Saccharomyces cerevisiae S288C: one gene and its partners. The gene in region 1 interacts genetically with each later gene. Each region holds a gene or a part of one and is shown on either strand. Other genes may lie near its edges. The genes, in order: KIN82, HSP12, PCL9 and UBP9.

Evidence for each region.
Region 2: mutations in KIN82 (region 1) and HSP12 together harm fitness more than expected from each alone (negative genetic interaction), as found in Saccharomyces cerevisiae (3 studies listed by BioGRID).
Region 3: mutations in KIN82 (region 1) and PCL9 together harm fitness more than expected from each alone (negative genetic interaction), as found in Saccharomyces cerevisiae (3 studies listed by BioGRID).
Region 4: mutations in KIN82 (region 1) and UBP9 together harm fitness more than expected from each alone (negative genetic interaction), as found in Saccharomyces cerevisiae (3 studies listed by BioGRID).

What each region holds. Positions count from the first base shown.
Region 1 is NC_001135.5:268,274-277,066, reverse strand, and holds KIN82 (putative serine/threonine protein kinase KIN82), read right to left. Parts: upstream 2,664-8,793; coding exon 501-2,663; downstream 1-500. Other genes in the region: mismatch repair protein MSH3, read left to right, coding at 1-303; YCR090C (uncharacterized protein), read left to right, coding at 4,204-4,752; FIG2 (Fig2p), read right to left, coding at 4,804-8,793. UniProt on the Saccharomyces cerevisiae protein: Flippase activator that phosphorylates DFN1 and DFN2 and which is involved in the generation of phospholipid asymmetry in membranes by the inward translocation of phospholipids.
Region 2 is NC_001138.5:104,076-110,885, forward strand, and holds HSP12 (lipid-binding protein HSP12), read left to right. Parts: upstream 1-3,180; coding exon 3,181-3,510; downstream 3,511-6,810. Other genes in the region: GNA1 (glucosamine 6-phosphate N-acetyltransferase), read right to left, coding at 1-387; MDJ1 (Mdj1p), read right to left, coding at 626-2,161; YFL015C (uncharacterized protein), read right to left, coding at 2,394-2,888; IES1 (Ies1p), read right to left, coding at 3,777-5,855; YFL012W (uncharacterized protein), read left to right, coding at 6,572-6,810. UniProt on the Saccharomyces cerevisiae protein: May play a role in a switch from carbohydrate utilizing metabolism to fatty acid utilizing metabolism.
Region 3 is NC_001136.10:134,263-141,761, reverse strand, and holds PCL9 (Pcl9p), read right to left. Parts: upstream 3,472-7,499; coding exon 2,557-3,471; downstream 1-2,556. Other genes in the region: YDL177C (uncharacterized protein), read left to right, coding at 41-553; DLD2 (D-lactate dehydrogenase), read right to left, coding at 648-2,240; AIT1 (Ait1p), read right to left, coding at 4,223-5,866; INH1 (ATPase inhibitor), read right to left, coding at 6,326-6,583; homocitrate synthase LYS20, read right to left, coding at 7,039-7,499. UniProt on the Saccharomyces cerevisiae protein: M/G1-specific cyclin partner of the cyclin-dependent kinase (CDK) PHO85. May have a role in bud site selection in G1 phase.
Region 4 is NC_001137.3:350,759-359,635, forward strand, and holds UBP9 (putative ubiquitin-specific protease UBP9), read left to right. Parts: upstream 1-4,707; coding exon 4,708-6,972; downstream 6,973-8,877. Other genes in the region: recombinase RAD51, read left to right, coding at 1-424; SHC1 (Shc1p), read left to right, coding at 940-2,478; ribose phosphate diphosphokinase subunit PRS2, read right to left, coding at 7,347-8,303; E2 ubiquitin-conjugating protein UBC6, read left to right, coding at 8,804-8,877.

The DNA of each region.
Region 1 (8,793 bases):
AGGAATTATCATATGGATTACGTGGAAGAACAAAAAACTGGCGAGGACTGGATGAGTGTAATTTTTCTATATAAGTTAAAAAAGGGATTGACTTATAATAGTTATGGGATGAATGTGGCGAAATTGGCACGCCTGGACAAAGATATTATAAATCGGGCATTCAGTATTTCAGAAGAATTGCGGAAGGAATCCATTAACGAAGACGCGTTGAAATTATTCAGCTCTTTGAAAAGAATATTAAAAAGTGATAATATAACAGCAACGGATAAACTCGCGAAATTACTATCATTGGATATCCACTGATGCGGATGGTACGTATGTTCTAAATGCAGCATTATCAGACAATAAATGATATTATATTTTTCATTCACTTTCTCGTTTTTGAATTGTTCCTTTGTTTATTTGTTTACTTTTAAATAATTTTTTACATTTTTATCATAAGATAAATTGAGAGAAACAATACAGAAATTTGGCCATGGGTTTATCTTTCTGTAAACATGTTATAGTTCAGGTATGATGTCTTTAAAGAAACTTCTATGTGAGCTGTTATGCCTTGGCCTTGTACAAGTTGCTTTGTATAGAATTTTTCCGTAGGTATAATTTTCAGAGTAGGTTAAGATATTGTGATCTTTCTTCGTTAAACTCATAGAATTAAAATCATGGAATGGATCAGCCTCATCAATTTCATCATCGTTTGCAACTTTCTCACAGAACATTTTGGTTTCCTGTTCACTCACTGAGTTCCTTTTCGGGTGTTTATTGCAAGACAATATAAAAGGAAGTTCGCAGCCGTTATCATTTAATGCAGGTATTAGAGGGGGGTCTTGGTTTCTTAAGAACGACCACTGAACTTTTTTGAAGAAGGGATGTCTCTTTATGTCTGCAGCTCCTGATTTGGAACCAAGCCTTTTTGCCTCGTTTTTGTTTAGTAGTTTCTTTATCAGGTCTTTACAATTCTTCGAAACTTCCTTATCATGTGGAAATTTGACGTCCTTGGTTAAAATGTTAGAGAATGTTTCATTTGAATTATCTCCTTTAAATGGAGTACAGCCAAATAGCATCTCGTAAATCAATATTCCTAAAGTCCACCAGTCTACTGCTGCAGTGTGGCCATTCCCTCTGATTACTTCTGGAGCTAAATACTCTTCAGTACCAACAAAGGAATTAGTTCTGAATCCATCTGAACAAATTTTTGTATCTAAATACGTAGAGTCTTTCATGGTGGGTTTTTTTGATCCCGTTGCTTGGATGGATAAATCAAAGTCAGAAAGCATGACATGACCAGATTGATGCAGTAATATGTTTTCGGGTTTCAAATCTCTGTATATGAAGCCCAGTAGGTGTAAATATTCCAAAGCTGCTACTACTTCACTGGCGTAAAACTTCGCATCTTCTTCTGCAATGCATTTACTTTTTCTTGTTTGTAAGGCTCTAAAGAATTCCCCTCCCATGCAGTATTCCATACAGAGATACAAATAGTCTTTGGTTTGAAAGGAATGATACAGTGTCACAATAAATGGATGATCACTTGTCGCGAGAATTTCCTGTTCAGTGAGTACTCGTTTAATTTTCTTCCTCTTGATCATCTCATGTTTATTCAAAACTTTCAGGGCGAATATCTGGTTGGTATCGCGTTCCCTCACTAAATACACTTTACCTACGTCACCTTGGCCAAGTAGTCTAATTTTTTCGAAGGATTGAGGTTCGACAGTAATGTCTTGGAACTTGTTACCGAATGACTTGGTTCTTAAACGACGAGATCTCCTCGGTTCTACAATATCTCCCAAGCTTGGAGGTTGTTTCAAGGCAATGTAATCTTCCCGCATTAACCCATCCTTTGCCGTATTGAACGGTTCGGAAGCGGCCCTCCTTAAACGTGGTGTTATGTTCATAGGTATTTGATCCTTTCTGGTTTCGCTATTTTTCCTTGGGGAATCAATTGGTGAATTGGATAATGACAAGTTAGCCAGGGGGGAGGCACTGCCATTTTCGCTGATTTTTCTATGGAAATTTTGGAGCTCTTCATTTTCGTTAATATCATTCAAAGATCCATTACTCAGGTTTCTACTGTCCTTTGCTATATAACTTGGGGAGCTAGGAGTGTGGAAGGATGACGGGTCTGTGGGCATGTCAAAGGTAAATAACTCCGCGTCCGGAGAAGAGCTACCTGAGATCTCATTAGGTGTGGAGCATATCGCCTCATTGGGTATAAGTGTGCTACTTGTAGTACTATGGACATTTGGCTCACCGATAATGGAACTTTGTAACAGCTCTGTATGTATCGTCGACCGGGGTTCACGCTTATGCGTACCTTTTTCTGAAGTTGACGCATCTGTAGTACCACTGCTCTTTGATCTGTTATGATTAAACATTGATTTGAACTTGTTAAGTTTGGAGCTTGACCAGCTATCGTTGCATTCTACATGCAGGGGAAACGGTATGGGAAGATCTTGCTTGTTTCCATTACAAGCCATATTAATTTGTGAGCTTGGGCTTGCGGACAACGAACAAGAATTGACGTTCAAACAATTGACATTGATGTTTTTGCCAGGAGGTGCATTGTTTTGCAGAGATCTCAAATTACGAGCAAATATTTTGGGTAGCGACATGCTCCTCCCCTTGGATAAGCGTTGTGAGGGGGAACGGTATTCTTGCTGAGTCATGTGTACCAACACTGTTGAACCTTGTTTGCAGTAATCCTTAGGGCACTCAATGAATTCTTGTACGTTTCAAACATACTATAATTAAAGAAGAAGAACTTTCTCTAAAAAAACTGGGGTTATTATGTCTTATGTTACTCCTTGAACAATATAGCTGAAAGAGGGAAAAAGGAAAGTATATTTCCGAAAAAGGATGCCGAAGACGGCGCTATCATAATTATGTGTTTGAGAGGCAGTTCACGGTTACATTCTAGTTCTTCTAGCGTCTGTTGTAGTATGAAAAGTACTTTATTGAATGTCCTTGACATGTTTTCCCAGGATCCAACTTAATGCTCCTCGCACTCATGCATGGGTCGGCCACACTGGAGATAATGATATTTATCTTGATATTCTTTGAAGAGTTGAAGAGCCAGCAGGAGTTTTGGAAGGATGTGACATTCTTAGTGGTTTTGATTTTTTTTTTTCAGTTCTGGCTTGTTCTTTTGTTTCATTGATGACGAAGGATTCGTTGAAGTTGAATGCACACAAAAAAAGCTTGATAACTAGTAATATTTTCTTGGCAGTCACATATATGGAAGGTGAATTTAGAGTAGTTTCCTTATAGCCTAGCGGGCTATTACCTTGTAAATACCACACTATCAATCCTTAAATGTATTGCTAATTGGCTATTAACCTAGATGTTTAGCTATTTATTATCTGTTGTTCGCTTAGCTAGGTACTGCTTTTTATGTTGTATTTTATCGAGAAGTTTAGTGTCGCCAGTTATAAAAAAAAAATTTAAACGTAAAGAAAGGTTATCGACAAATTAACGCAATATTACATGCCCTTTTCACCGTATCATGGTATACACTGGTGCATTAGTAGTAGCATACCTTTGAAAATAAAATGAATAACACTGTGAAGACGTAATGGTGTGTTTAGGCTTCACCATGACCAATTGTAGTATAATTTGCAATTTTATCACTAGGATTGTCACTAGCACATTAAATATATATATTTATATTGGTCCTTATTTTTATGAATTTTTTTTAATCTTAGAATTACGGAGCGTTTATGGCTTCATTGACCAAATAAAATGATTGGGCTGAAAGTTTTGAAATATTTCCATGATTCACTGCGGATGCATCCTATTTACAACAGACAGAAGGAACTGACGTGTTTTTCGTGAATGAATTAGATATATATGTGAAATTATGTTTTTTGTTGTTTGAATTTTTGATTTCGAATTGGATTATTATTCTTTGTTTATCTCATCACTAATTACTTACTGCAAATGTACTTTGCCATAAAAAACTAAAAGATTGATCCTTTTATGCTCAAGCTTTGCTACTATAAGATAATTTAGATGATCTTGGCAGTAAATTTTTTTTTTTTTTTTTTTCAAATTTAGTTCTTCGTTGCCTACATTTTCTTAATTTTGTTTCCATTGCTTGTATCAAAAACTTATGAAATTACAAGCGTCAAGAAGCTGTTTATAAGAAGTAATGAAAAATTTTGAATAAAGACAACTTAACCAATAAAGAAAACCAGGTTGTGTACGATAATGCCGTTATTTTTGGTTCTGAAAGCAACATTATCAGAAAACGTGACCAAGGTTTCAATTGAGAATACAAACGAATCAAGGGCAGAATTTGCCTTCGATCTACAATGTACCAGTTGTAGAGAATTACACGATTCTAAAGTCATCATCAATACATTTGAAGAATATGCTATGCCGGCATCAAAAGGTACCGCATCTTTCTTGATGAAGTGTAAATTTTGTTCAAAAGAATTGTCAGTTAACCTGTGCGCTTTTGAGGATGAATATTTAACTGATCAGAGTGACGACAAATGGGCCAAGATAAAAGATGTGCGGAAGAAGCATGGTTTATCGAAGGTCAAAGAAGATTCTTTCATTCCTTTAAGCCTTGATTGCAGAGGTTGTGAATTAATCAAATTTTATCCCGACACCATAACGTTTGAAGTTTCTCTAAGTTCGGGGAAAGTAATGTCATGCCAACTAGAGGATAATGAATGGTATGATTATGATGACAACCTTGGGGAAGAAGTAACAATGACTGATTTCTCATCAAGCATTATTAAAGGTAAGTAAAAAGAGTGTCTGTTTATAGCATATATACGTACATATAATATATACGGGAAATTAAATGAAGTTGATCACCATTACCATTATCATAAAGAACTTACTACAGAGAAATTTTGACGCCGAACCAGCATACGTACTGACAATGGGTGTAGTAATCCAAGTTGAGGATGCAGCAGCAACAAAAGAAGTAGCAATCCCACTGGAGGAAAGTCGTTGCTCGACATAGGTCGTAGTTGTTGGCTTTGGTGCTGAAGTTATGGCCACTTTTGTTCTCGTTATTATCGTCGTTACTGATGGAATTACAGTTTGGCTGGAACTTGTTATGGTTATCAGTTCTCCATTAGTATCACTGGATGTATATGTAACTGGCTTCACTGTAGTAATTGATATAGTGGATTCAGTTGAATGCACTTCCACTGATGTTGTTGTTATGGCACTTGGGGTAATGACAGACGTCATCGTGACGTATTGAGAATTTAGCTCACTTGTAGCGGAAGCTTGGCATCCTTCTCCACTACATGCAGATATTGTAGCGCTTGATTTATACGTTTCGGATACTTTACACGAGTAACCATCACAGCTGCTAGATGTGGTTTTCTGGCACTCAGATCCAGTACATGTCATAGTATCAGTAACCGTAGATGGAGGAGTAGTGGCAGTTGAAGTCACATCGTCACAGTTGGATCCATTACAGATAGTGGATACCTCCTGTTGGCATTGTGAGTCTGTGCAAGTTAGTGTTGCGATGGAAGTAGTTGGTTGTAGAACAGAAACAGTGTCAACAGTTGGTGATATAGAAAGAGATGGCAACGATGCCAATGATGATGATGATGATGATGATGATGAAAACTGAGACATCAAAATAGACGACGAGACTGGCGATAACGACAATGATGATTTAGAGGACAATGGTAGAGAAGACGCTATGAAAGTGGAGGAAGATACTGCTGTTGCTGTTGGAAGTGTTGATGACGTAAAAGCGGGAGATGGTAAAGAAGTGGATAACAACGAAGTTGATGATGGCGAAGATGCTGATATAGAGCTAGATGATGGTAATAACGGGACAGAGGTGTGTGTTGACGTTAGTGTTGATGCAGTTGTTGTTGAGAATGATGATGATGATGATGTAGAAACAGAGGGGGAATATGCTAACGTTGAAGCAGGTGAGGATGATTGTGTTGGCACATCTTGCGTACATTCAGTACCTGAGCATACTCCTTTCGACAAATATCCAGATGAAGATTCTGATTCTGTTGAAGTGCTCAAAGAAATAGAAGTAGATGTTGCAGATGAAGCGGAAGTAATTCTAACTTTGGCTGTCGAGGAAGTTTGAGTAGTAGCACCTAAAGTCGATTTACTTGTTAATGGACACCAAGTCGTGTATACAGTCTTCAAACCACTTATGGTGGTGGTAGCAGTAGATAATGTATATTGAATAGAGGTCTGAGATAAAGATGAGGATGGTTTTGACGACGAAACAAACCTGTCAACACTGCGGGAAGATTGAGAAGAAGCAGCTACAGTAGATTTTTCTGCCAATGGACACCAAGTTGTGTACACAGTTTTGATTCCGTTGATTGTTGTAGTAGCTGTAGATAGTGAATATTGGGAAGGTGTAGAAGAAGAAGGTAAAGAGTACCCCGAAGAGAAGTTGTATGGAGAGGTAGTACTACTGGGCTTTTCATTTGTTGATATGACATTAGAAGAAGAGGACATTATTGTATTAGTTAAAACGGTATTTGACCATTGAGAGACAGATGTGGTGGAGCGTTTTTCTGAACTTGTGAATGCCAAAGGCAAACTTTGCGTACTGACAGAAAAGGTGGACATTTCTGAGGAGGCTTCTAAGGAACTTTTTTTGGTGGAGGCTAAAGAGGAACTTGACGTTGAAGAAGTTAAGTATGGAAAAGGAGTACTTCTCATTTGCACAGATGTAATAACAGTCGGTGTGCAAATCGAATTAGAACATACTTCGGTACTCATAGTTACGGTTTGATGGGATGACAATGTCACCTCTACTGCCTCCGTTTGTAGAGTTTGAGAAGAATGTCCATTAGAAGGCGTGCCTTTCGAAGTAACAACCTCGGTAATGACTGTTGGGACACATTTGGAATGGGAACATACCTCTGTACTAATAATTAGGGTTTTTCGGGAAACCACAGTAGTATTTATCATTTCAGTAGACAAAGCCGGGAAAAGTAAGCTTCCAGTAGTGGTAAAGTTTTGAGTACCGAGAGTGCTAATAGTTTCGGAAGCAGTAGAAACCTGGGATGTGGTTGAACTCTCGCTAGCAGTGGCCGTCGCAGAAGTAGCAGACACTTGAGTGCTAGTACTAGTAGCTTCGGAAGTAGCAGAAACTTGGGTATTAATAGTTACTTCAGAAGCAGCGGGATTTTTTGCACCTTCGGATACTGTAGAAGATAATACCGTAGAGCTAGAGGTTGATAAAAGGGGGATTGTAGAGCTTGTTGCAGTAACACTGGTAATAACCGTTGGAGTACACTCAGAATGAGAGCAGACTTCAGTGGTCAAAACTAATGTTTTATATGATATGGATGTCGTATAAGCAATACTTGATGCCGGGCACCACGTTGTGTATTCCGTAGCAGCACCGTTCACCGTTGTTGTGACAGTAGAAAGCACAAGCGTTTGCATTCCGCTGGTCTTTAATTGCGTAGTCGTCAATGAATAGTCTTTATTTGACGAAGTTTTGTGAATATTAGATATAACTGCGATGGTTTCGGTTGAATTTGAAGTAAAATCAGTGAGTGAGTTCACACTAGAGCTCACATGTTGGCTGGCTTCTGTTGGGTTAGATACACTAGTAGATGGATACTTGCTGGTCGATCCAAATGTAACGGTAGAGTTAGTAATGGTCGCCGTAGAGCCTTCTGAAGATGAAAAATTTGGATAAGAAGATAAGGAAGACGCAAGATTAACTTCACTGGTGCACAAATAAAAACTATCCGATGTGCCACTAAAATAGGTGGGCTCTGTGATTGAAGTACTTTCGGTCATGAGATGGGTGTTTATAGTTTCAGTCCCCTTAAATGTGGCATCAGACAATTGTAAGGTCGATATCCCCAATGTTAATATTGAAGATGGTTTAGAGGTTTGTGTGGCGCTAATCGTGGATGAACTGATCCCAATTGCTTGTGATTTGGTTTGTGTTAGAGGACACCATGTAACATATTCGGTGATCACCCCGTCAACCGTTTTGGTGGCCGTAGAAACATAAGCCGGGGATGTGGTTGACGTTACAGACCCTTGTGTATTAGTTGTGTTGATGACAACCCAAGTGGTTTGTGACAGCGGAAGAGAAGAGCTTGACCAGTCCTGGTATTGTGAACTTCCGCTTGCAGTTGATTCAGGAACGTTGTTCGAGGCAGCAAGAGTGCTGGAATTGGAGCTCAAAATAGAACTACCGCTAAATGAGGAGGCTTGTGGAACGCTAGAAATGGACGAACTGACCCCAATTGCTTGTGATTTGGTTTGTGTTAGAGGACACCATGTAACATATTCGGTGATCACCCCGTCAACCGTTTTGGTGGCCGTAGAAACATAAGCCGGGGATGTGGTTGACGTTACAGACCCTTGTGTATTAGTTGTGTTGATGACAACCCAAGTGGTTTGTGACAGCGGAAGAGAAGAGCTTGACCAGTCCTGGTATTGTGAACTTCCACTTGCAGTTGATTCAGGAACATAGTTCGAGTTCCCTTGTGTACTAAAATTGGCGGTTGAAATTCCCACAAAGCTAGATGCTGTAGAACCCACTGAACTAATGGGGTCTATTAGAGAAGTAGCCGAATCTGTACCAAATGGTGTGGAAGCAATAGAAGCAGTGAAATTAACTGTTTCACTTTTTGAGGCCCGATTTAAACTCGACAATTGTGTAGATGAATATTCACTCGTAGTTGTAAATAGAGAAGGATCTATTGAGTTTGAAGTCAAAACATCGTAGTTACCACTTGTTTTAGAGGGGGGGCTCGTAAAGTTGTGTGAGATTGAATCAGAACCACTTGTTGGTGCCATACTGGATGACCTCAA
Region 2 (6,810 bases), on another chromosome or scaffold:
ATAACAACCGTAGTCAAAGCCGATAGTTACCAATTGATCAATCAAGAGCTTGCCCAAACCTTGGCCCTGATACTTGGAGTTTACTGCAATGTCCTCGATGTGGCCACATAGCCCCAGTTCATGAATGATCTTTCTTTCGATGATGATATTCCCCGTAGCGGCAACCGTCTCGGTGCGCTTGTCCACAATCACCATGGGGTTATATTGCATTATTTTTTTATCTTCGTTATCATTCCATACTGTGGCTTCATTCCAGTATTTTATGAGTTTGCTGAAGGATTCGGGGGTAATAGTGCCCACGGTGGTCAAAACCTTTAGCGTCTCAGTGACCTGTTCCAAATCCCCCTCTTCCATTCGCCTTATATAAAATCCATCGGGTAAGCTCATTATTTTATGTTGATATCCAGCTTCCGTTCGTCAACTATTCTCTCGAGCTCAGTTTTGGGTTTTGGCATGTAAACAATGCCTTCGCTTGTATTACGCAAAAAAAAAAAAAATAAATAAAAAAAAAAAAAAAAAAATAAGGTATAAATCGTTGGTTCTTTTATGCACAATTATTTAACTATAGTTATCTATTTACGTAAAGGCTTCTATTTTTCCTTATCTACAAGAAATTGCATGAAGTTTAATTTTTTTTGTCACCTTTGATCTTCCTGAATGTGTTGGTAATGAAATTTTCTAGTCTCTTCAAAGTGTTGTCGTCATCCTTTTTTGCGTGTTTTTCCTCTTCTTGTTTTTGTTTCTTCAGTATCTCTTCATTAATGGCTGTACCCGCGGCTGTGCCCGGTTGCATGGTTTTCTTGGCCATGTCATCGTTGGTGACATCTGCCAGTGCCTCCCACAAGCATTTTTCTGCCAGCGATTGCGGTTTCTTAACAACGATCTTGTACTGGACTTTCATATCACCGCGAATGGTTGATGTTTTAGGAACACCCATGTTAGGAATGGATATCACTTGATTGTATTGAGTCCCTGGAGCGACCTTTATCCTGATCTTTTGTCCCTCCACAGTGGGGATAGTGACAGTACCACCAAGTGCAGCTGTGGTTATAGGAATCTCCTTGTCGTACCAAATATCGTACTTGTTCTTTATCGAAAAGTTGGGATCCTTGTCGACACGAATTCTCACCAAAATATCACCTCTTGATAACTTGACTGAATCTTTCAAGTCCGCCTCTACAGCGATGTCAGGGTATGAGCCTTGGCCAGGGATCCTGACCACGTCGCCGTCCTGTAATCCATGTGGCAAGTCCACCGTAATTGTCTTTGCCCTGTTGACCTGAACACCCTCACCATGGCACTTGGTACAATTGTCCTGAGGCCGTTTCATGGTACCTTCACCGTTGCAAGTAGGACAAGTCGACATCATCTGAAATCCGCCCCTAATGTGAACAGTGGTTCCTGTTCCGTGACAAGTGCTACAACTGACCTTATGCGTGTTTGGTTTCATTCCCGTCCCTGAACAGGTACTACAAGGGTCCAGCGCAGAGAATCTTAACTGAACGTTCTTGGACCCAAACACTGCGTCCTTGAAAGACACTTTATGGACAATCTCGATTGGGTCGCCCCTATATTGTCTGAACATAGATGACGACCTGCTTGCGCCACCGCTACCGCGGCCACCACCACCAAATGCAGCACCAAACAGGTCTTCAAAATTGATACCGCCAAATGGCGAGCCGCCTGCACTGGTGAATCCTGAGAAATCATGAAATTGGGAACCAAAGGGAGAGCCACTACCACCACCGGCACCTCCAGCGGCACCGCCGCCGCCGAAGGCAGCGGGCCCAAATTGATCGTACTGCTGCCTCTTCGTTTCGTCTGACAGAATTTCATAAGCGTTCTGTAAATCGTGGAATTTCTTCTCAGCATCCGGTTCCTTGTTGATATCCGGGTGGTACTTCTTTGCCAGTTTGTAGTATGCTTTTTTGATTTCCGCACCTGTAGCAGATTTCTTCAAGCCTAAAGTATCGTACGGGTCCTTGAATGCTTCGTTGTTTCTGATTGCAGAAGTATGGAAGCTAGATTTTGGTATTCGTGGAGCGATGGATGCAAACGCGATGGCATGTCTATAAAGAATATTATTGATATGGCGAGAATGTCCCACATGGTGTCTAAAGACACCGGAACACCTTGACAATACACCTTGTTGGAAAGCCATTGTTATGTTATGTTTAGAGTATGATATAGGACTTCTCTCTCTTTTTTTTTTTTTGTCCAGGTGGAGTGCGATTTGTTCGTTATATGCCTCATTCCTTAATTTTTATCAGTCAGAACGTTATTTCGCGCTGCAAGTTCCTTACTTTTCCATAGAGTTCCACAGGATGTAAAGAAAAATAATGATAAAAAAAAGCAGAACATATTACCCTTCTTTTGGAGCGTACTTCCATCTGTTACCCGCTCATCCAAATGCACATTCTGTTACCCTCTTGTTCGGTATTTTTCGGAGTTCTCCTTTTCTCCTTCTTTTCCTCTTGATACACAGAAAAGTGGGAGAAGGTAGGGGGAGTCAGAGAATGAAGAAAAAAAGGGGACGCGCAAATCCAAGTGAAAATCTCCGGGAGCGGGCGGATCCCACTAACGGCCCAGCCGAAAATGGAAAAAAAGGGTCGGTGATGTGTGGGTGCCAGCTGGCGGTAGCAATGACGACGTGTTGACGGGCCCTTGGCTCTTGGGACAAGGACTAGAAGCCAAAAGCCAGAGGCGGTAAAAATAGCAAGACTAGAATATTGCTGGCATCTGTTAAGGGGATATGTTGCAACTTGCAGGGGGCGGCACAAAATAACATAGAAACGTAGTAAAGAGGGGAAAAGGAAAAGGAAAAGGAAAAGGAAGGAAAAAAACCCATTGACGTAGAAATTGAAAGAAGGAAAGGTATACGCAAGCATTAATACAACCCACAAACACAGACCAGAAGCACTCTAGACGGAGAGTAACTAGATCTACAGCCCCTGGAAAATCGTTTGGTCAACTTTGAGGTTCCGGTCGTCCCCCTCTTGATCTGAAAGGTCTTTCTCTAAATCTATATTAAAACGTATAAATAGGACGGTGAATTGCGTTCTACTTCCTCAATTGCGTTTGATCTTATTTAATCTCTCTCTAATATATAGAAAAAAAAACCATCTGATTATTCGATAATCTCAAACAAACAACTCAAAACAAAAAAAACTAAATACAACAATGTCTGACGCAGGTAGAAAAGGATTCGGTGAAAAAGCTTCTGAAGCTTTGAAGCCAGACTCTCAAAAGTCATACGCTGAACAAGGTAAGGAATACATCACTGACAAGGCCGACAAGGTCGCTGGTAAGGTTCAACCAGAAGACAACAAGGGTGTCTTCCAAGGTGTCCACGACTCTGCCGAAAAAGGCAAGGATAACGCTGAAGGTCAAGGTGAATCTTTGGCAGACCAAGCTAGAGATTACATGGGAGCCGCCAAGTCCAAGTTGAACGATGCCGTCGAATATGTTTCCGGTCGTGTCCACGGTGAAGAAGACCCAACCAAGAAGTAAATCTTTCGGAACTCTTTGTAGTTACATGGTTTTTTCTTTATGATGTGTGATGTTCCTTAATATTATATTCAATGAATAGCAGAGTAATAAAAAAATTCTAAAAAAAAAACGCTTAAATCGAGGTGGAATATATAAACTTAAGTACGCATATACTCTAGTTCAGTTTAAAAATTAGCTGTTTTTTTAAAAAAAAAAATTCTCTTTCTTTACAAAATGTTCTTAAATGTATGTATGTGTGTGTGTGTGTGTGTGCGTATTGTTCTATTTCACTCCAGCTTAAACATGGCGGTTGCTTCTTCGTCATCAATTTCCGCGCGTTCGATTTTATTTAAAAGTACTTTCTTTGAAGCGCCGAGATTTTTCATGAAATCCGTCTCAAATCCAAGCAAATTATCTTTGAATTTCTTTCTCTTTTTACCGCGAATCCCAAGCACTGACGCTACGGGGATGTCTTCAAATTCATTGAATATCTTGATTAACCCAATATCGCGTCTTTTCAACCTGTTTGGCACCTGGGATTTTTTCAAATCGGCGAGAAACTCCTCTTGTGTCTTACCATTTTCTGACACATGCTTGTTCAGATCTAGCGATATTAGCTTGTCGACCTTGTTTACCGTAGCCGAACTATTGTATTTTTTCAATGGTGTTAGATTTAAATCGTTTTTGTCAATGATAGCAGCGGAGGTGATTTCTTCTTCTGTTTCTGTTGGTGCTGCTGGCGTTACTTTGGGCAGTTGTGGTGTGACTTTTTTCCTGTTCAATGTCATGGGTGAAGAAGATTCCAGTATGGGCGTAGGCGTCAAAAGTGATCTAGTCTCCTCTACAGTCTCCTCGCTCTTGTCATCTTCCCCTTCACCGTCCTCTTCACTCTTGTCACCACCGATACTGGGCTTTTTCACCTCTGTAACATTGGTACGCTCGCGCTTCCTACCCTCCTCCATCTTACTCATGAATTCTCTTCTCTTGATGCGTTGGTTGGCTCCGAACTCTAATTCATCTTCAGGATCCGTGTCGTAACTGCGTTCCGTACACCTTAAAATGAACTTTCCAGCAGGTGCACCATCTTCCAATCCATTGAAAAATCTTACTGATTCTTCGACCTCCTCCTGGCTTAAGTTTGTCTCCAAATGAATATATAGCAGCCAAATCAATATGTTTGATCTATCCTTTGGCTCGTATTTCGAATAGTCCAGTATATCAAATAATGTTGTTGCATAAGCTGCTTTTGATTCTTGTTTTTCATTTTCCGCTTCCGTTTCTTTTACTTCATTCTGTTCATCTACCATATCTTGCTCCTGAGCTTTCGATTCGACTTCCACATACTTGGAAAGAAACCTCTTGTCAATTAGGCCGGAATTATCACATATGCTAAACAACATATTAATAATGTTAAATTTGTTAACGGTGTCCACTTCACCATCATTTTGGTCGACCTTTTTGTAAGTCTCCATCAATGAGAGTTGCTCATTGCCCCACGGCAGATTTTTCAGAATAGATTTCAGTCTAGGTGTATCCTGCAAAAGTTTCGGATCATTGGCATGTAATTGTAAAACTGGCACGGAGTGAAAAGTTCTCAATTGCGATGTCATTTCTAAATAAAAATTTATAGTGGTGTTCAACCTACCAATGTTGACCAATAACGCTAAAACACAAGTAGAAAATGCTACTTGTTGGTCTAATAATAGTTTATCTCTGAGAATTTTGGAACATTTGATAGAAGTGGCTATTGTCAACACATACAATTGTGCGAACGTCAATTTATCGTTAAATACAAATGTCCTTGCATCGTACTCTTTGTCGGTCACGTTGATTGATAATTTATCGCCATCGATATTAATGGGTACAATAGAGTTCTTGTATAGGGGTTTTAGAACATTAGTGAAGATTTGCCTCTTGTCCATCAACAGTTCTTGCATGAAACTGAACTGAATGTCCTTTCTATTGAATGGCTCGCCGTCAGGTTTCTTCAAATGACGATTGTATTTACTGGCATTGCTTTCTTTGGGTTTCCTTCTAACAGTGTTAGTTGTCACTGGCCCCGTTGCCGTACTTGCTCCTGTTGCTTCAGGCACTGTAGAAGGTTCGAAGTTGAGCAAGATGTTGGTATTTTCTTCTTCACTTTGCGTGGAGTCATCATCATTTTTATCGTCGATTTCAATCTCGTGTATAACTGGAATGCTTTTTGTAGTCACAGTCTCGGTCTCTGATTGAATGGAGCTTGGGGATGCTTCTTCTTGTGATCCCGATTTTACAGATTGCATTGGAGAATCTGCTTTTGTTTCGTCAGAATTGTCTTCTCGTAGTTGGAAAGTATCATGAATTGGATCGTATACTCTCTTCCCCATCTTTAATTAGAGTGTCGCCTTTATTTAGCTTTCGATTTTACTTAGTTAATCATGAACTGTTTCCAATACCATATCAGCATTCATTGGGCGTTCTTTACTTACTTGTACCGTTACCGCATTCGAGGGTAACCTGTTTTTCGTTGTACACGATATGCTACAGAATTGTCTTAATATGGGCTAAGAAAAAAAAAAGTCTGATTATTTCTGATACTGCAAAATATATACTGGCTTGGTTAAGAAAAGTGTTGCTTTAGTTCCTTTACATCAAGAGTCGTTAAATTGTTTTGTGTCATAACAGTAGTGGTCTTTTGAGACATCAATCGACTCTCAGGTTTTCCTTCTGTTCATCTTCTTGTTTTCGGTAAAGGTCAGCCAGCATATTTCAATTCTCTCTTTTTTGAAATAACATTATGTAATCTTTCAATCCTTTCTATCCAACGTCTGCTAAATAATTTATTCAAATGACATGTAGACCAGAAAATCGAACGTTGGATAATTTTTCATCCTGAATCATGTTGGTCTCAACTAGAGCAATTTTTTCACGTCCTCTGACACAAAACTCGATAAACTGTCGCATCAGTTTAAAAAAATATGTACGTGTATAATAACTGAATTTAAAAGGATAGTAAATAATTTTTGCATTTTATGGAATGTCAAAATACTAATAAGTCGCAAATATAGCTATCAAATACCATAATTTAGCTACTTATAGAAAGATGCCCAAATCCCGACCAAAAAGGACCATTGCGTCTTCCTCGTCAGTTTTTTATGGAAGTTCACCTTTCCAAAATGATGGCTACATCAAAGTAATGGAACTCGTATCACACATTGTCATTGAAATAAATCATTCACCTACCGCAACAACGGATGAAACGAGAAAGCAGAATAATCCGGAGCTGAAAGTGAAAGAACCAGTTTGTAACCTCAAGAAGTGGGAAAATAACACTAACTTTAT
Region 3 (7,499 bases), on another chromosome or scaffold:
AGATAGGTATTGATGTTTGGTATTACTATTTTTTGGAGAAATGAGTAAGAATGTTGGTAAGCTAGTGAAAATATGGAATGAATCAGAAGTTTTAGTTGATAGAAAATCGAAATTTCAAGCAAGATGTTGCCCATTACAAAATCAAAAGGATATACCCTCCATACTCCAAGAACTAACGCAAAACAACAAAAGCGTCTCCAAGGCATCCCACATGCACATGTATGCCTGGAGAACGGCCGAGGTATCAAATAATTTGCACTTACAACAAGAGCAGAAAAAGAAGGGCAATAAAGCAAATAAGAGTAATAATAGTCATGTTAACAAGTCAAGGAACATAACGGTGCAGCCAAAGAACATTGAGCAAGGATGTGCTGACTGTGGCGAAGCTGGTGCTGGACAGCGTTTATTGACCTTACTTGAAAGAGCAAACATATTCAACGTCTTGGTAATAGTGACCAGATGGTATGGTGGCACGCCTTTGGGCTCATCAAGATTCAGACACATTTCAACATGTGCAGTGGAAACCTTAAAGAAGGGTGGATTTCTTCCTTAAATATCACCCTTACCATATAATATACACAATTGTAGAATATAATATTGATAAATATATACATATGTAGATAACTATAAAACTTGGCATTTTATTTTCAAATGTATTTGTAAGGGTTTAAAATTCCATTAGGATCATAATGAACCTTCAAATCCTTCATCATCTTGACCTCTTCCGGGCTCTTAGAATAGCCAATGTAATTTTTCTTTTGGAAACCTAGCCCATGTTCGGCACTAACGGAACCATGTTTTGAGGAAACAAACTCGTAGACAAATGGTTCCAAAGTCTTTTCAATGTTCTTGTTGTACTCTCTAACTGCAACATTTAAGTGTAGATTACCATCACCCACGTGACCGTATCCAATGGCGCCCACCACTGGTTTGGGCGAATCACCCACTAATTCAGCTTCAGAAAGTCTTGCATTAGTGGCTTCAACCAAAGAATATAGGTCCTTTAGTGGTAAAGAAACATCGTATTTGTAAACACCACCATTAGCTTGACTTGCCTCTGGAATCATTTCTCTCCACTTCCACAAGTTTTGGAGTTCGGTTTCATCTTGTGCCACTACACCATCCGTTACTATGCCCTCTTCCATGACGTTTTCTAAAAATGTTTCAAGTTTGGAATCATCGTGATCTTTGTTTGACCCTGACGTTTCGATAAGAATATAAAATGGATGCTCATCCTCCAAAGGGAAGGCAGCATCCTTCAATTGGCTCTTGGCCAATACTTGAGATTTAGCATCCATAAATTCAAAAGCGGATAAAATCTCAGATAATTCTTGCCTGGCTCTGACGAAGACTTTTTGAACGTCTTCAAAACTTTCAACAGACAAGTAAGATACATTAAACGCTTTTGGCTTAGGAACAGTCAAGATTGAAACACCAGTGATGATACCGATAGTACCTTCTGAGCCAATGAACAGCTGTTTCAGATCATAACCGGTGTTGTCTTTTCTCATGGAATGCATGCTATTAACAATTTGACCATTGGGCATTACCACCTCTAAGCCTAAAACGCTTCCATGTAGTGAGCCATAACGCAATAACCTTAGTCCTCCAGCGTTGGTTGCAACCACGCCACCAACATGGCAGGAACCTTTAGCTCCCAGATCCAACGGAAACATATAATTTTGTTCCATTACGTAATTGTTAGCATTTTCCAAGATTACACCAGCATCACACTTCAAGATACCTGATACAGGGTCAAAATCTCTTATTTTGTTTAAATTTGCTAAAGATAGAATTAATTCATCAAAAATGGGCACAGAACCACCTACCAACCCCGTGTTACCGCCTTGTGGGACAACGGCAATTTTTTCATCATTACAATAATTTAAGATTAAAGAAACTTTTTCCACTGACTTAGGTCTCAATACTAACTTGGACTGTCCTTTGTACTTTCTCATCCAATCTTCATTATAAAATGAAAGATCCTCTGATTCGCTGGCTCTTAATATTTCTTGTTCCGATAAAATAGATTTAAAATAATTTAGATCATCGGACGTTAATTTTTTGAATCTAGGGTCTCGATGCACGTCTGGATAGTTTTCGCTAGTCAGTCTGGTTTGTATCTTGGTCGAATAATAGTTAACTCTTCTATAGTATCCTAAAAGAGCTGATGATTTCATATATCTGCCAGCAAATTTGAAATTGCTGCCAGTACTTCTCACCAAAATGTTTCTTAGCATCTTGTTATATGCCACTTGTAGTGCTGGATTAATGTCTGTAAAATAAAGAGAAGAAGTTGTCAATGCATTTATTACCACTTTTTCAGAGTCAGATAGATTTTGAATTATATAACCTGTCAAAATGAAAAAAACTCGGCCGATATTCCTCGAGAAACAAGACGAATGCCAAGAGTATTCATTATTAGATATTTGTTTATGTAGTATGGTGTTTTTTTAGTAGCCTAGAAACGATGGTTATTCATATTGTACAAAGTTAAGACAACTAAAGAACGGAAAAGAATATTTATAGAGCTTGTAAAAGGCGAGTAACTTAGAATTATTGCTTGAAAAACGATGACCAGCCCCTCCTTGTAAAATTTAACCGTTGGTGAATTGTGGGCTTATGCGACATTACTGGTGAACTTCCCATTGTTACATCAATATGGTTTACTGAGTGTATGTTTTCCTCTGCCCTGAAATTATTACAGATATCGTTATTATTCCTTAACGGCACATGATTTTTTTTGTTGAAGTTGTCAGATTCCACCAACGGTAGGGACGGTTGGTATTTTGCCAGTAGAGAAGACCTTGAGTCTGTTGTCGAAACTGTTGCCATGGATGTCAGTGAAGGAACCGATATAGCAGAAGAAGTTCTAGAATGCGAAACCGGTCTTCTATGATTTATATATTCTTTCAGTTGGCCGGGACTTGGTGCATTGAACAACAGCATTTCTTGTCTCCTTTGTAAAAATAGTTGTTCCTTGATAGGCCCGAGGAAGTAAGAAAGAGAATCAATCAAATCCGGTGTAGTTATCCTCACATCCCAATTTAAATATTCTAATAGTTCTCGTTCGATGGTATTCACCTCACGTATTCTGAGTAAACCTTCTGTGTACGTGGTCCAGTGTTTGTTCCAGGGAGAAGAATCGTTCAGAGTTTTGGCAGCTAATATCAAGCATCCGAGAAATATCCGATGTCTTGTGGTGTTAATACCGTACACATTTTTTGGTATTACGCTTTTCAGTTTGTTTAAATAAACTGATGTGGCCATTAAAGTTGGTGTTTGAACATTTGACTGAATTACCACGTTTTTAATGAAGATAGATAAGTCTGGTGGGCGACATCCTTGGATTGGATTATTATTTTCCCTGATTTTAATTATGGAAGCAGTAGAAGTGGCTAAGAACTGAATCATTTCTTGCGAAACAGGTTTTTTGTTGAATTGCAAAAGAGCATCGTAGTCAGAAATCATCTCTTTGTGCGTATTTCTTCAGAATTAATAATGCTGTTACCGAAACAAGTTTTCTTGTCCTTTCTTTGCGTATATCCACTTAAATATATGTTATTAGAGATCTATGAATGTCGATGCACTCTTCTACTGACCGCAAGCTGCCCAAATGCTTAAATACAGAAGCAAAGAGACACATATTTACCACGTTGCATGAATGTCCAAACTCACTGCACCGTTAAACAGAATTATAATAAGCAAGGCTTGACTACTTGTCCCTTGTAAGATTATCTACTTGAGCTGGTTTTTTTTTAGTGCAGCAATAAAAAAAAAAATTAGTGACGCTGGTTTCCGCGCAGCGCTAATTTAAGAATTTTCAATATTGCCAACAAATTTTATCTTGGCAGTTATGAATGGAGGCCAAATTGTAGCATACAGTGTGAGCTCCATATTGCCAACAAATTTTATCTTGGCAGTTATGAATGGAGGCCAAATTGTAGCATACAGTGTGAGCTCCATATTGAATGATGCATGATCTATTTTCTTTTGGACAAATTTCTACCTTGCATAACCTTTGATTGATGAACCACTGATGTAGTTAAACTTTTAAAGTAGGGTTAAAATGTCCCTTTAATATATTTTTATAATTACTTACAGATTGTTGTTCTTATGTAAATTTTATTATTAAGCTCCACCTCCCCTAAAGTAAAATGGATAACATAAAGATTTTTCAAGATATGAACACCCTAATATGTGCACGGTCGTTACTTATATGCTATATATAAACTGTTGAAAGTATTCCCGTTACAAAAACAAGAAGACTCCAAGAAACCATTACTCCAAGTACAAAAGAATCATTTCTTGCCAAAGCCCTCCAATTTTTGACTAGCTTCTTGCAGAATCTTAGTAAAGCGGAGTCGTTGGTCATATCATCATCATCCCCATTTAAACTACCATAATATAACGTCGTATTACCTAACAACTGGCCTGAATTCATCCCGAAGTGACCCGGGCTGCTATTTATTACATCAGGACTATCCATCGAAATGTAATTAGCACTCAGTGGATGTTGGTACTCTTGATTTGTAGCTACTCTCTTACTGATAGTATTTTCGTCGTCGTCCTCAAACTCCCCCTGTGAATTATTAAACCAATCGTCTAGCTCTCTTCTTAAATATATCGAAGTGTTGATGAGGAAGTTTAGAGATATGAAAGGAATTATTACGCATAAGATGAAATTTGAAATGGTTCTTGAGCCGAAGTAGTTCACCACGGGAGTAAATAATCCTTCATGGCCGCGAACATAGACGAAATACATCGACAGAATCAATGATTCCCCAATTGTCAACATGATATTACTACCAACTACCAATATCATTAACAATAAACCGGTGACCAACTGGTATGCCGTGCTAAATGCAATAAATCTCTTTATCGGTGTGAAGCTTTTAGTAGTATTTTGTGTATTTTCATTAGGAACTGCCCATGTATAACCAAAAGATTTCTTCAAAATGGGCTGTTCTTCGTCTATGGGGAAACTCAAATCACCCGTATCTAGAGTTGTCAACTTTAATGAATTGTCGATGGGGTTCATCATGATAATTGTATCGTCCTGCGAATTATCTGGTACATGCAGCTGCTTCTTATTTTCATGAGGTTGCTGTCGTATGCTGCCATAAGTTGATGACGATGAACGTAGAGGTTTGATTGGATGGTACTCAGACGAGTATACGTTATTCGATATGGAAGATGAGTCATTTCTTACTTCAATACATTTGGACAACGTAATATCACTTCTGTCTACGACGTTGGGGCGATATTCTGTACTACAACCGCAGTCATCGTTATGGCTCATATCATTATTGTTACAGTAAGTGTTGGCGCTTTCCTGGTGTGTGAAGCCACTATTAATGTTTGGATCGGCGATTTCTTGGTAGTTAAACAAATTCCCTATTATGCATATGGTGAATTCACCCAGGGCCCATGATATACCAAAGATATAGGCTTGTCTTGGAATGATGTGCCAAGAACATTCCTTATGCTTGATCGTACCGCCTTCGTGATCTTGCACCTGAGGGTACGCTAAACCAATCAGTATCAAAAGCATAAAGACGTCGTTGATAGGAAAATCCACTATCAGGTTCAATATTAAAAACCTTTGATTTATATTGAATAGAAAGGTCTTCAGGAAATAATAAAGAAATGGTGAAAAAAGCCCCAAAAGAAAGGTCCTGAAATAGTCCTGCGAATTTGGTTTGAACATCAATGGATCATCATACTGGTGTAGCAGTAATTCGGACGACGCATAGAATAGTGAAAACAGTGAAATACTAAACAGCGCAGAAAGTATCACTATGTGAGGCCTTGTGGAGCAGAAAATAGGCATAAAATATGATGCTGCATGATTTAATCGGACCATATTCAGATATATTTCACAGGTATCTTTCTTTTGTGTAAAGAATACGAGGTATGATTTAAAACGTCAAAGAATGGAAGAGAAATTTTGAATGCGAAGAGATGCTAAGTATATTCTTGGTGTTAGGCTAAGCTTGTTGAAACAAAAAAGAAGGAATTTTGAAATTTCGTATCTTAAGTATGGACTATTGACGTTATTTGGAACTTTTCCATGTTCCACACTGTTCCTATCTTTCTATGCCTTTCCGCATTGGGACGAACTTTGCGCGAAGTGGAAATAATGAGTGACATTAGTCAGACAGACAAGAGGAAAATTCAAACCAGAGGAAAACTAGAATGATAGTTATCGAAAATGCAAAAGCTCAGTGTGATGTATTATTATATAGTTTTTCTGCTGTTTGACTATAAAAGAGTAAGAATATTCTAAAAAAAAAAAAAAAAAAGCTTCTGCGGAAACGCATGATTATTTGGTCATCGAGTCAATTTTATTTTCCAAAGAATCAATCTTCTTTCGTTGTTTTTCCAGTTGTTCTTTCAAATGGCGTAGTTGCTCCTTCTCACGCTGCCTAACGAAGAAGTCTTCCGTGGCCCTTTCCCTTTTAACAAACGAATCCTCTGAGCCTGACCCTCTTGGGGTGCCGGTAGAACCTTCAGAGTAGAACCTTGCGGCCACACCGCGCTGTAATTGCAATGAGCGTGCTAATGCTGAACGTGGTAACATATTCTATTGTGGAACTGTATAAAAGTGTGCTGTAGTAATGCGTGTAAAATGCACTCCTTTGGGATAGCAAAAACAAATTCAACCACGAACAAATTCAAAGAAAGTTTTAAACAAGATACAACAAGTCAAGTTATGAACCCCTCCTTCTCTAACGATTGTTAACGCCTTTTCTAGCCCCAAAACCTCGTTGCAGTGGAAAACGATGGGTGTCAGCAACTAGACAGTTGATTGGCATAATTGTGAATATCTGGATATTTGGTACCCGCAGCAGCCTCCCCTTATTCTGCCGCGAATGCGCGCGTCTGATTGGCCCGGCATCACGGGAGAGTAAATCTTCTTCTTTTAATGCGTATCGGACAAAGTAGATGGGAAAAAACATCATTTAGATATGTAGATGTAGATGCTATATATCGTATGTAATAAGTGAAAGAACATAATGTAATGGTTTGGGAACGTTAGGCGGATGGCTTAGTCCGCTTGGCGGCGGGGATGGTGGCCAGTTCCGGTACATCGCTGTCATTCTTCTTGTTCTTTTTTGCAGATAGTACTTGAGGAGTGCTGACCTCTGCGTGGAAGTTCTTGATGATAGAGTCAACATCATCGATATTCAGCGATCTGACATCACCCAGCTTCTTAATCTTAGCAGTAACTTCCTTGATTTGGTCATCCGTCAAGTTCAAGTTCAACTGGTCGACTCTGGCTTTGATGGCGTTCCAGCCAGTTAGTCTGTTGGCGAAGTGGATATACCTCTTCATACCGAAATCGTGAGGGTCCAAGATTTCGTAGGTAGATGGGTTAGCCAAAATGGCCTTGGCATGGATACCTGCTTTATGTGTGAATGCACAGAACCCGGTGATAGGGTTGTTGAATGGAATGTTAACTTCCACAGCATCAGCGACCAGGTTTTCAATGTCTC
Region 4 (8,877 bases), on another chromosome or scaffold:
ACTTCTGGATGCTGCTGCCCAAATGATGAGCGAGTCTCGGTTTTCCTTGATTGTGGTCGATTCTGTTATGGCTCTATACCGTACGGATTTTTCTGGTCGTGGTGAACTAAGCGCAAGGCAAATGCATTTAGCCAAATTTATGCGTGCTTTGCAAAGGCTGGCCGACCAATTTGGTGTTGCAGTCGTCGTTACTAACCAAGTGGTCGCCCAAGTTGATGGTGGTATGGCTTTTAATCCAGATCCAAAGAAGCCTATCGGTGGTAATATTATGGCACATTCTTCCACCACGCGATTAGGTTTCAAAAAGGGTAAGGGATGTCAAAGATTATGCAAAGTTGTTGACTCACCTTGCTTACCAGAGGCTGAATGTGTGTTCGCGATCTATGAAGATGGTGTTGGTGACCCCAGAGAAGAAGACGAGTAGGTATTTGGTCTCTTGTCTCTATTTATTTACACAGGTTTACTTTCAATTCTCCTCTTTTTCTTAGGTTGCGTTCCGTACATTTTTATCTTCATTTCCATCCACTGTCTTAGATTTTTGCATATATTTTGTCATATACCTCGCAACCCTACTGCGGTCTTAACCTTTTTTTTCAGTTCTTTTAAATAACTTTCGTATTGTCTGTCACCCATGAAATATATGTATTTTTCTACTCTTCTTCCCGATGACTACTTCCTCCTGCAGGGTCCGCGCGGCTTTATCCTTTTAGGGGAGTGAAGAGAAAAATTTTCTGATATGTCGCCATCCTCTTATAAAACCAACGTAAAATACCATACACTTCTTTATGGCAATGAATTTCCTTGTCTTCGTTTCGACGTTTTTAAATTGAATAAAAAATTGTACTTGGAAAAAAGAATAGAACAATACTTTTGCTAACAGCAAGAGAAGTACGGTTGACATTACGAGTATCCCTTTGTTAAAATCAGGCAGTACCCATAATGTCCATGACTATTTGCTCAAATACTCCTGGTGCATACCCTGAAATTGGAGCTTATAATGAGGTTGATAAACAGTTGGAATCAAGCGGATTCTCCTCTGATTCCTCTCTGATATTGAATAAACCAGAAGTTCGTCAATACTGGTCATCCGTTTCATCTCATATTTCACGCTCAGGTGATGTGTTTACAAATGATAAAGAAAAAATTTCATCCTCTATTGGTGAGGATGCGATGGATATCGACGCTTCGCCCTCATTGATTGAAAAATATAACTCTTTTCCCACAAGAAAGATTCTTCCTGAGCAGGACGAGTTTGAGAACGACGTTGAGGACGATGCTTCTTCCTCACTGAAGGAAAAATCACAAGGTTCTTGTGAAATTGAAATTGCTTCTGAAATTTCATCCGAAATTTTAAATGGCACATCGGCAGACGGTAATTCCGAGTTTCACGACTTCGCTGAGCCCCCTCCCTCTCAGAATGAATCTGTCGCTCTGTCTTTTAGTCAATCGAATGATTTGGACTTTTTGAATAATCCAAGCGGATCAGGCTCTTCAAACGATATCAATAGAAGTACAAGTTCCATTTCACTTCCTAGACATGTGTCACTAGATTTTAACGTTTACAATAGTCTTTGCCTCACAAATGAGGTGACTGCATCAGAATCACATAATGTGGCCAAATTTCACCTTGGCAAGAAAAACAAGAAGAGCTTGCTACCAAGATGGAAAACCATTGAAATGTACGGGGAGGTAGTTAAGAAAACTCAAGACATATATTCTAATTTTCAGTATGCACAATACATTTTAAGGGTAGGGTTGGATACCGAAAAACTACACGAACTTGTTAAGGAACTGGAGGATGAAAGCAATAGCTTCTCTGTAGATTCTTTAAAGGAATATTTAGTGAACGATGCCAAAGTTATTTTGAAGAAACTAAGTGCCGTTGGATACCCTGATGCACAGTACCTTCTAGGTGACGCCTACTCCTCTGGAGTTTTCGGTAAAATAAAGAATAGAAGAGCATTTCTTTTATTCTCCGCTGCAGCCAAAAGAATGCACATCGAAAGTGTTTACAGAACTGCCATTTGCTATGAGTGCGGCTTGGGTGTAACCAGAAATGCACCGAAGGCGGTTAACTTTTTGACTTTTGCTGCAACTAAGAACCATCCTGCAGCAATGTACAAATTAGGAGTATATTCGTATCATGGTTTGATGGGTCTTCCAGATGATATTCTAACCAAAATGGATGGTTATAGATGGTTGCGAAGGGCTACATCTATGGCTAGCAGCTTTGTTTGTGGTGCTCCTTTTGAATTAGCCAATATTTATATGACGGGATATAAAGATCTTATCATTTCGGATCCAGATTATGCTATGGCATTGTATGAGAAGGCGGCGGCTTTAGGGCATACTGAATCGGCAAGAATACTAGAAGACGCTCGCAGAAGTGGAGGGTTTGTTTCGCGAGGACATCCTCCTTCGGCACAGAAATATCATAAAACCTCCCATGAAGCTGTGGCAGCCAAAAAGTTGATTTAATAGATAAATACAAACTTCGTTTTCCTTTTATTTTGTTGTTTTTTTTTTCACAAACTGTGGAAGTTCGATTAACTTTAGAAGTTTGTTTGATCAAAAATAGACTGATCCTCACACCTTTCGTTACTATTTGTTACTTTGCTGTATATCGAATAAATAAACCTGACTAAACTCCTTCTGTTATTTAGCGCAGATCCTATATGCTGCATTTTTAGATGTATTTGAGCACTACTATCGTTAATGCCGTGGCATTGGCTATGGACCAGTTAAGTCACGGCCTTTCTTAGTTCTATCATATACGACGTTATACTTATTTACTTTCCCAGCGTTGAAATTAATGTGTCTTTTTCATAATATTTACTTTTTGGTGCGGAAATCTGTAATATTTTAAAACAAAATCTCATCCTTTTGAAAAGAAACGATGAAGAAAAAAAATAATAACATACATTGTACCTTCACTAACACTTGTAAAACAAACGCTTACATTATAATGGCACAAATGAGCAATCAGTGTCACTTCTTCCTACATAAGCATAATTCAAGTATCGGGATATAAAGCTATTATATACCGCTTAAGATAAGAGGTATACACCTCATTGATCAAATACGCAACAGCGTCTCCTTTCAGACCTTTGTGGAGTAATTTCTGCGGGTAGGATTGACTATTTTTCAAGATCAATGCCCCCTCACACTAAGACCTGTTTGCTTAGCATCATAAATGAGTTTTTCCATAATTAAATTTCAACCATAGATTAGAATTTCGTTGCGGGATAAAACTCCAGAACCACAACGATTATGCAGCAAATGTAACCTTGAACTAAACTAAGATTTTGTTAGAGCAGGTGGTTTCCGTTACTCAGACAAGAACCTATAGTAGAAATATAAAAGTTTAAGTAAAACTTTCTTGGAATAGGAATCAGCCATCATCTATCAACTAGTGTACTGATATTCATAATACTGGTATACAATCATATACGGTGCGGGAAGATGACATAAAAAATTGAGAAACACTCATCAAATTTAATGGAGGCCGAAATGCAGGGACTCAGATCGTGATAGAATAATAAACGAGAACATATAAAATGGAAGAAAAAAGAATAACAACAATATGTAGATTTATCGATTCTGTTGATAATTAGAGGTAAAAAAATAGTATTAATGAAGAAATAATTACTGATCTTCTTATACTAAATAAGAGAGGTATATAAAACACACGCCGATTGGTCATATTAATCATGACCAATATAATAGTGATTCCGGTAGTTACTATACATTGATGTGACGACTCATATTCCTCATATATGTACCTACCATAACATGTTCAACTAATAGGTGTTTAACACAGCTTCAGTATTGTCTGAGCTTCTCGTTTAACATTCCTTCTGCAATAGGCGCAATCACACTTAAACGTATACGAGGTGTACATTAATATACGATGTAAGCATTAGATTGTTACCATAGCAACTCATGTCACTATTAATTACTCTCGTTCCAACAGATTCTCCTTTTATGGATTCCATATCTCGAGGAGACTTCTAGTATATTCTGTATACGCAATATTATAGCGTTTACGAACAATGAATCCCAACAATTATTTTAAAATTCACCAACATCTCAATATGTGTTTTATGAATATTTTAGGTGGGTATTGTCATACTGACGTATTCCATTTTGAGATGCAACACATACGTGTATTGTAATCCGATATAGTGTAACGGCTATCACATCACGCTTTCACCGTGGAGACCGGGGTTCGACTCCCCGTATCGGAGTACTTTTTTGACATCATACAGTGTATGTATGGGGTTAGGAGCCACCTTCCAACAAAGCATCACGCTGTCGTATCTCAATTGTCCTTCAGCAAAAGAAAAAGCAGTTGGGCTCCTGTACGCCATATATACTTTATATGCGGTTTTTACCCCGGAAATCGCGTTTATTAATGTCAATGCGCGATTTCTATTATGGGTTGAAAAAGTTGCACTTCTGTTCCTTTCCAAACGATATACGCCCCCCCCACAAGAAAACGTTTCTCTTGCATTCAATAAGGTCCATCGAAGCTGTATTTGGAACTTCCGATTTTATTAAACTTCTAGGGGCGAACTCAACCTTTCGCTTGAACAAGCTTGAATGTGTCGAAAACCTTAGCTCGATCCTTAAAAAAGTATTTGCATTATCAGTAATAAACAGAAAATTAAAACATTTACCAAAGGCAACGAGTCTTCCATATGAAAAATGATAAAAAGATGGTTATCTGTGAATAGGAAAAAGTCACACCCGGAGAAGAACACTCAAGGTAATGACGAAATTAATCGGAAAGCAACTAGCCTGAAGAAAACGAAAGGTTCTGGAGATCCCTCCATAGCGAAATCACCAAGTGCTAAGAGTAGTACATCAAGCATACCTTCTAATCTTGCGAGCCATGAAAGAAGAAGCAAGTTTAGTAGTCAAACGGATAACCTTGCAGGAAATAAACATTACCATGAGCATTACCATAATATGGCAAGTACTTCAGATGAAAGAGAGTACGATTCCTCGACTACATATGAAGATCGTGCGTTCGATACAGAGTCCTCCATACTATTTACTACTATTACAGATTTAATGCCATATGGGGATGGTTCCAATAAAGTGTTTGGTTATGAAAATTTTGGGAATACTTGCTACTGCAACTCCGTTCTACAATGCCTTTATAATATCCCCGAATTTAGGTGTAATGTGCTGCGATATCCTGAAAGAGTAGCCGCAGTAAACAGAATACGCAAAAGTGATTTGAAGGGTTCAAAAATAAGGGTATTCACTAATGAAAGTTTTGAAACATCTACTAATAGCGGAAATTCTAATACGGGGTACCAAAGCAATGATAATGAAGATGCACATAACCACCACCACCTTCAGCAGAGTGATCAAGATAACTCCTCTTCTTCTACTCAAGAAAAACAGAATAATTTTGAAAGAAAAAGGAACTCGTTTATGGGTTTTGGAAAAGATAAATCGAACTATAAAGATTCTGCAAAGAAAGATGATAACAATGAGATGGAACGGCCTCAGCCTGTTCACACAGTTGTAATGGCCTCTGATACATTAACAGAGAAGCTTCACGAAGGCTGTAAAAAAATTATTGTGGGAAGACCGCTTTTAAAGCAAAGCGATTCCTTATCAAAAGCTTCAACTACAGATTGTCAAGCAAATTCGCATTGCCAGTGTGATTCACAAGGCAGTAGGATTACATCAGTGGATGATGATGTCCTTGTTAACCCTGAGAGCTGTAACGATGCTGTCAACAATTCTAATAATAATAAAGAGAATACGTTTCCAACAAGTGAACAAAGAAAAAAAGCCGCTTTAATTAGAGGCCCCGTTCTTAACGTAGATCATTTACTTTATCCAACCGAGGAAGCTACACTTTACAATGGACTAAAAGATATATTTGAGTCTATTACTGAAAACTTGTCGCTAACCGGTATCGTTTCACCTACAGAGTTTGTCAAAATTTTAAAAAAAGAAAACGTCTTGTTCAACACTATGATGCAACAAGATGCCCATGAATTTTTAAACTTTTTATTAAATGATTTCAGTGAATATATTCAACGCAATAATCCCAGAATGAGATTCGGACCACAAAAGACAGACAACAGCAACGACAACTTTATAACGGATTTATTCAAAGGTACACTGACGAATAGGATCAAATGTTTAACTTGTGACAATATCACCTCAAGGGACGAACCATTTTTAGACTTTCCAATAGAAGTACAGGGTGATGAAGAGACTGATATCCAGAAGATGTTAAAAAGCTATCATCAGCGTGAGATGTTGAACGGGGTTAACAAATTTTATTGTAACAAATGTTATGGTTTACAAGAAGCAGAACGTATGGTCGGACTGAAGCAACTGCCCCATATTCTGTCATTGCACCTAAAAAGATTCAAGTATTCAGAGGAGCAAAAGTCAAACATCAAACTTTTTAACAAAATACTCTATCCACTAACTTTGGATGTTTCTTCCACTTTTAATACATCAGTATATAAAAAATATGAACTAAGCGGCGTCGTCATCCATATGGGGAGCGGTCCACAGCATGGTCATTACGTATGCATTTGCAGGAACGAAAAGTTTGGGTGGCTTTTGTATGATGACGAAACGGTGGAATCCATAAAAGAAGAAACTGTGTTACAATTCACAGGTCATCCAGGTGATCAAACTACAGCCTACGTTTTATTCTATAAAGAAACACAGGCTGATAAGACCGAAAATCAAAATGAAAATATAGACACTTCTAGTCAAGATCAAATGCAGACTGACAATAACATTGAACAGTTAATAAAATGCGATGATTGGTTAAGGGATCGTAAATTGAGGGCAGCTGCAAATATTGAACGCAAAAAGACCTTGGGGAATATACCTGAAGTTAAGACTGCAGAAACCAAGACGCCATTAAATGATAAAAAACGCAATAAGCAAAAAAGAAAATCGAGAATATTGAGCTTCATCAAATAAATCGGGATTGTTTCGATACATCATATAGTTGAGACCCATCTGTTCTAAAAGTATCAATATTAGTGTACCATTTTTTCTTCCTTTTTTAAATAATTTCCACGTTTCTTTCTATTGTTCCTGATCTTTCGAATTTAGTTGTATTTCACTTCACCTACTGTAATAACTTTTTTTTTTTAGAGCACAATAAAATTTCACATATTTTCCAAAAGCAAGGGCGGTAAATCAGAAAAGATTAAGCTTTAATGAAAATCTCATAGAGACCAGATGAAGAATATTGGTGGCAGCATAAGCGCTAATACTGAATAGATATACGCATTTTTTTTCAAAATATCTGTTAGTACATTTATACAAATATATTCGTTTATACCTCTTCTTTAAACAGGCGCATGTGTAAATAAATATGAGACTGATTCTCCATTATGCAATCTTCTGATAGCTTCTGCAATCGTAGGGCTGATATCCACCTGATCGACAATGTCCAAATCCAAATCAACAGGTACCGTGTTGGTGCAAACAATTCTTGATAACCTACTATTTATTAACTTCTCCCTAGCTGAGCCAGAAAATATACCATGTGTGACAATAGCGATAACCTCCTTAGCACCGTGATCCATTAATGTGTCACAGGCTTTCACCAGCGTACCACACGTGTCAGCCATATCGTCAATCAACAAGCATGACTTACCAGCAACATCACCGACAAGCAGCATTCGCGAAACTTCATTAGCTTTTTGCCTCTCCTTATGAATCAAGGCAAAATTCATATCCAGCTTGTCCGCTAAAGAAGCCACCCTTTTCGCACCACCAGCATCAGGCGATACCAGTATCGCATTATTGAAATCTGTTTTGGTCCTTATGTAATTCAACACACTTGGTTCACCGTATAAATTATCAACCGGGATATGAAAAAACCCTTGAATTTGTGAAGCATGGAGATCCATAGTAATAACATGATCACAACCCGCAGTTTCCAAAAGATTGGCAATCAGCTTCGCAGTGATGGGCGCCCGCGATTTATCCTTCTTATCTTGTCTAGCATAAGGGAAATTTGGTATTACTGCCGTAATTCTTCTGACTGATGCCGTCTTACAAGCGTGAATTAAGATAAGTAATTCCATTAAGAAATCGTTGATTTCATGTTCCCCGTAACCAGTTTGGATGATATATACGTCTTCATCACGAATGCTTTCCCCTATTGTAACAGACGTCTCTTTATTTGAATACTGATATACCCCCACTTTAGATAACGGTACACCAAGCCTTTGGGAAATAAGCTCAGCAAGCCCAGGATGTGAGTTACCAGCTAACAACTTAATACTGTTTGTAGACATATTCAACGAAACTTACGACAAGATAGTCTTTGGATGATGAGGAATATCCTCTTCTTAGCAATCCCTCGATGCCTCCTCATATCATCTATTGTTCAAAATTTTTTCATTGTTGAAAAATAGTCACGTGCTTAACCATTTTGCTGCGCGATTTGGTAGGAGGATAAATACACGGGCATACCGTATCTGTTCAATAGCAACAATGTCGGAGAGAGCTAAACTAGCCAACTCGCCATCCTATTCCACTGGTCGCTTGAGTCGATATCCTTCCACAGCAATATTGCACTTTACAATTAGGATAGCCTCCCCAATAAAATAAGGAAATTTTGGTTATTTGTGTTCAGAAAAAGCCGAAATCGATTGCAGAGAACAGAAAGGAACTTTCCGATTATCACACTTTAGGAGCCGTGATAAAGAAGACTACCATCGCATATCGCAGAAAAGACTTTAAATATTAACTAAAACCGCATTCGCAAATTGCAAACAAAGTACGTACAATAGTAATGGCTACAAAGCAGGCTCACAAGAGATTGACGAAAGAGTACAAGTTGATGGTGGAAAACCCTCCACCATATAT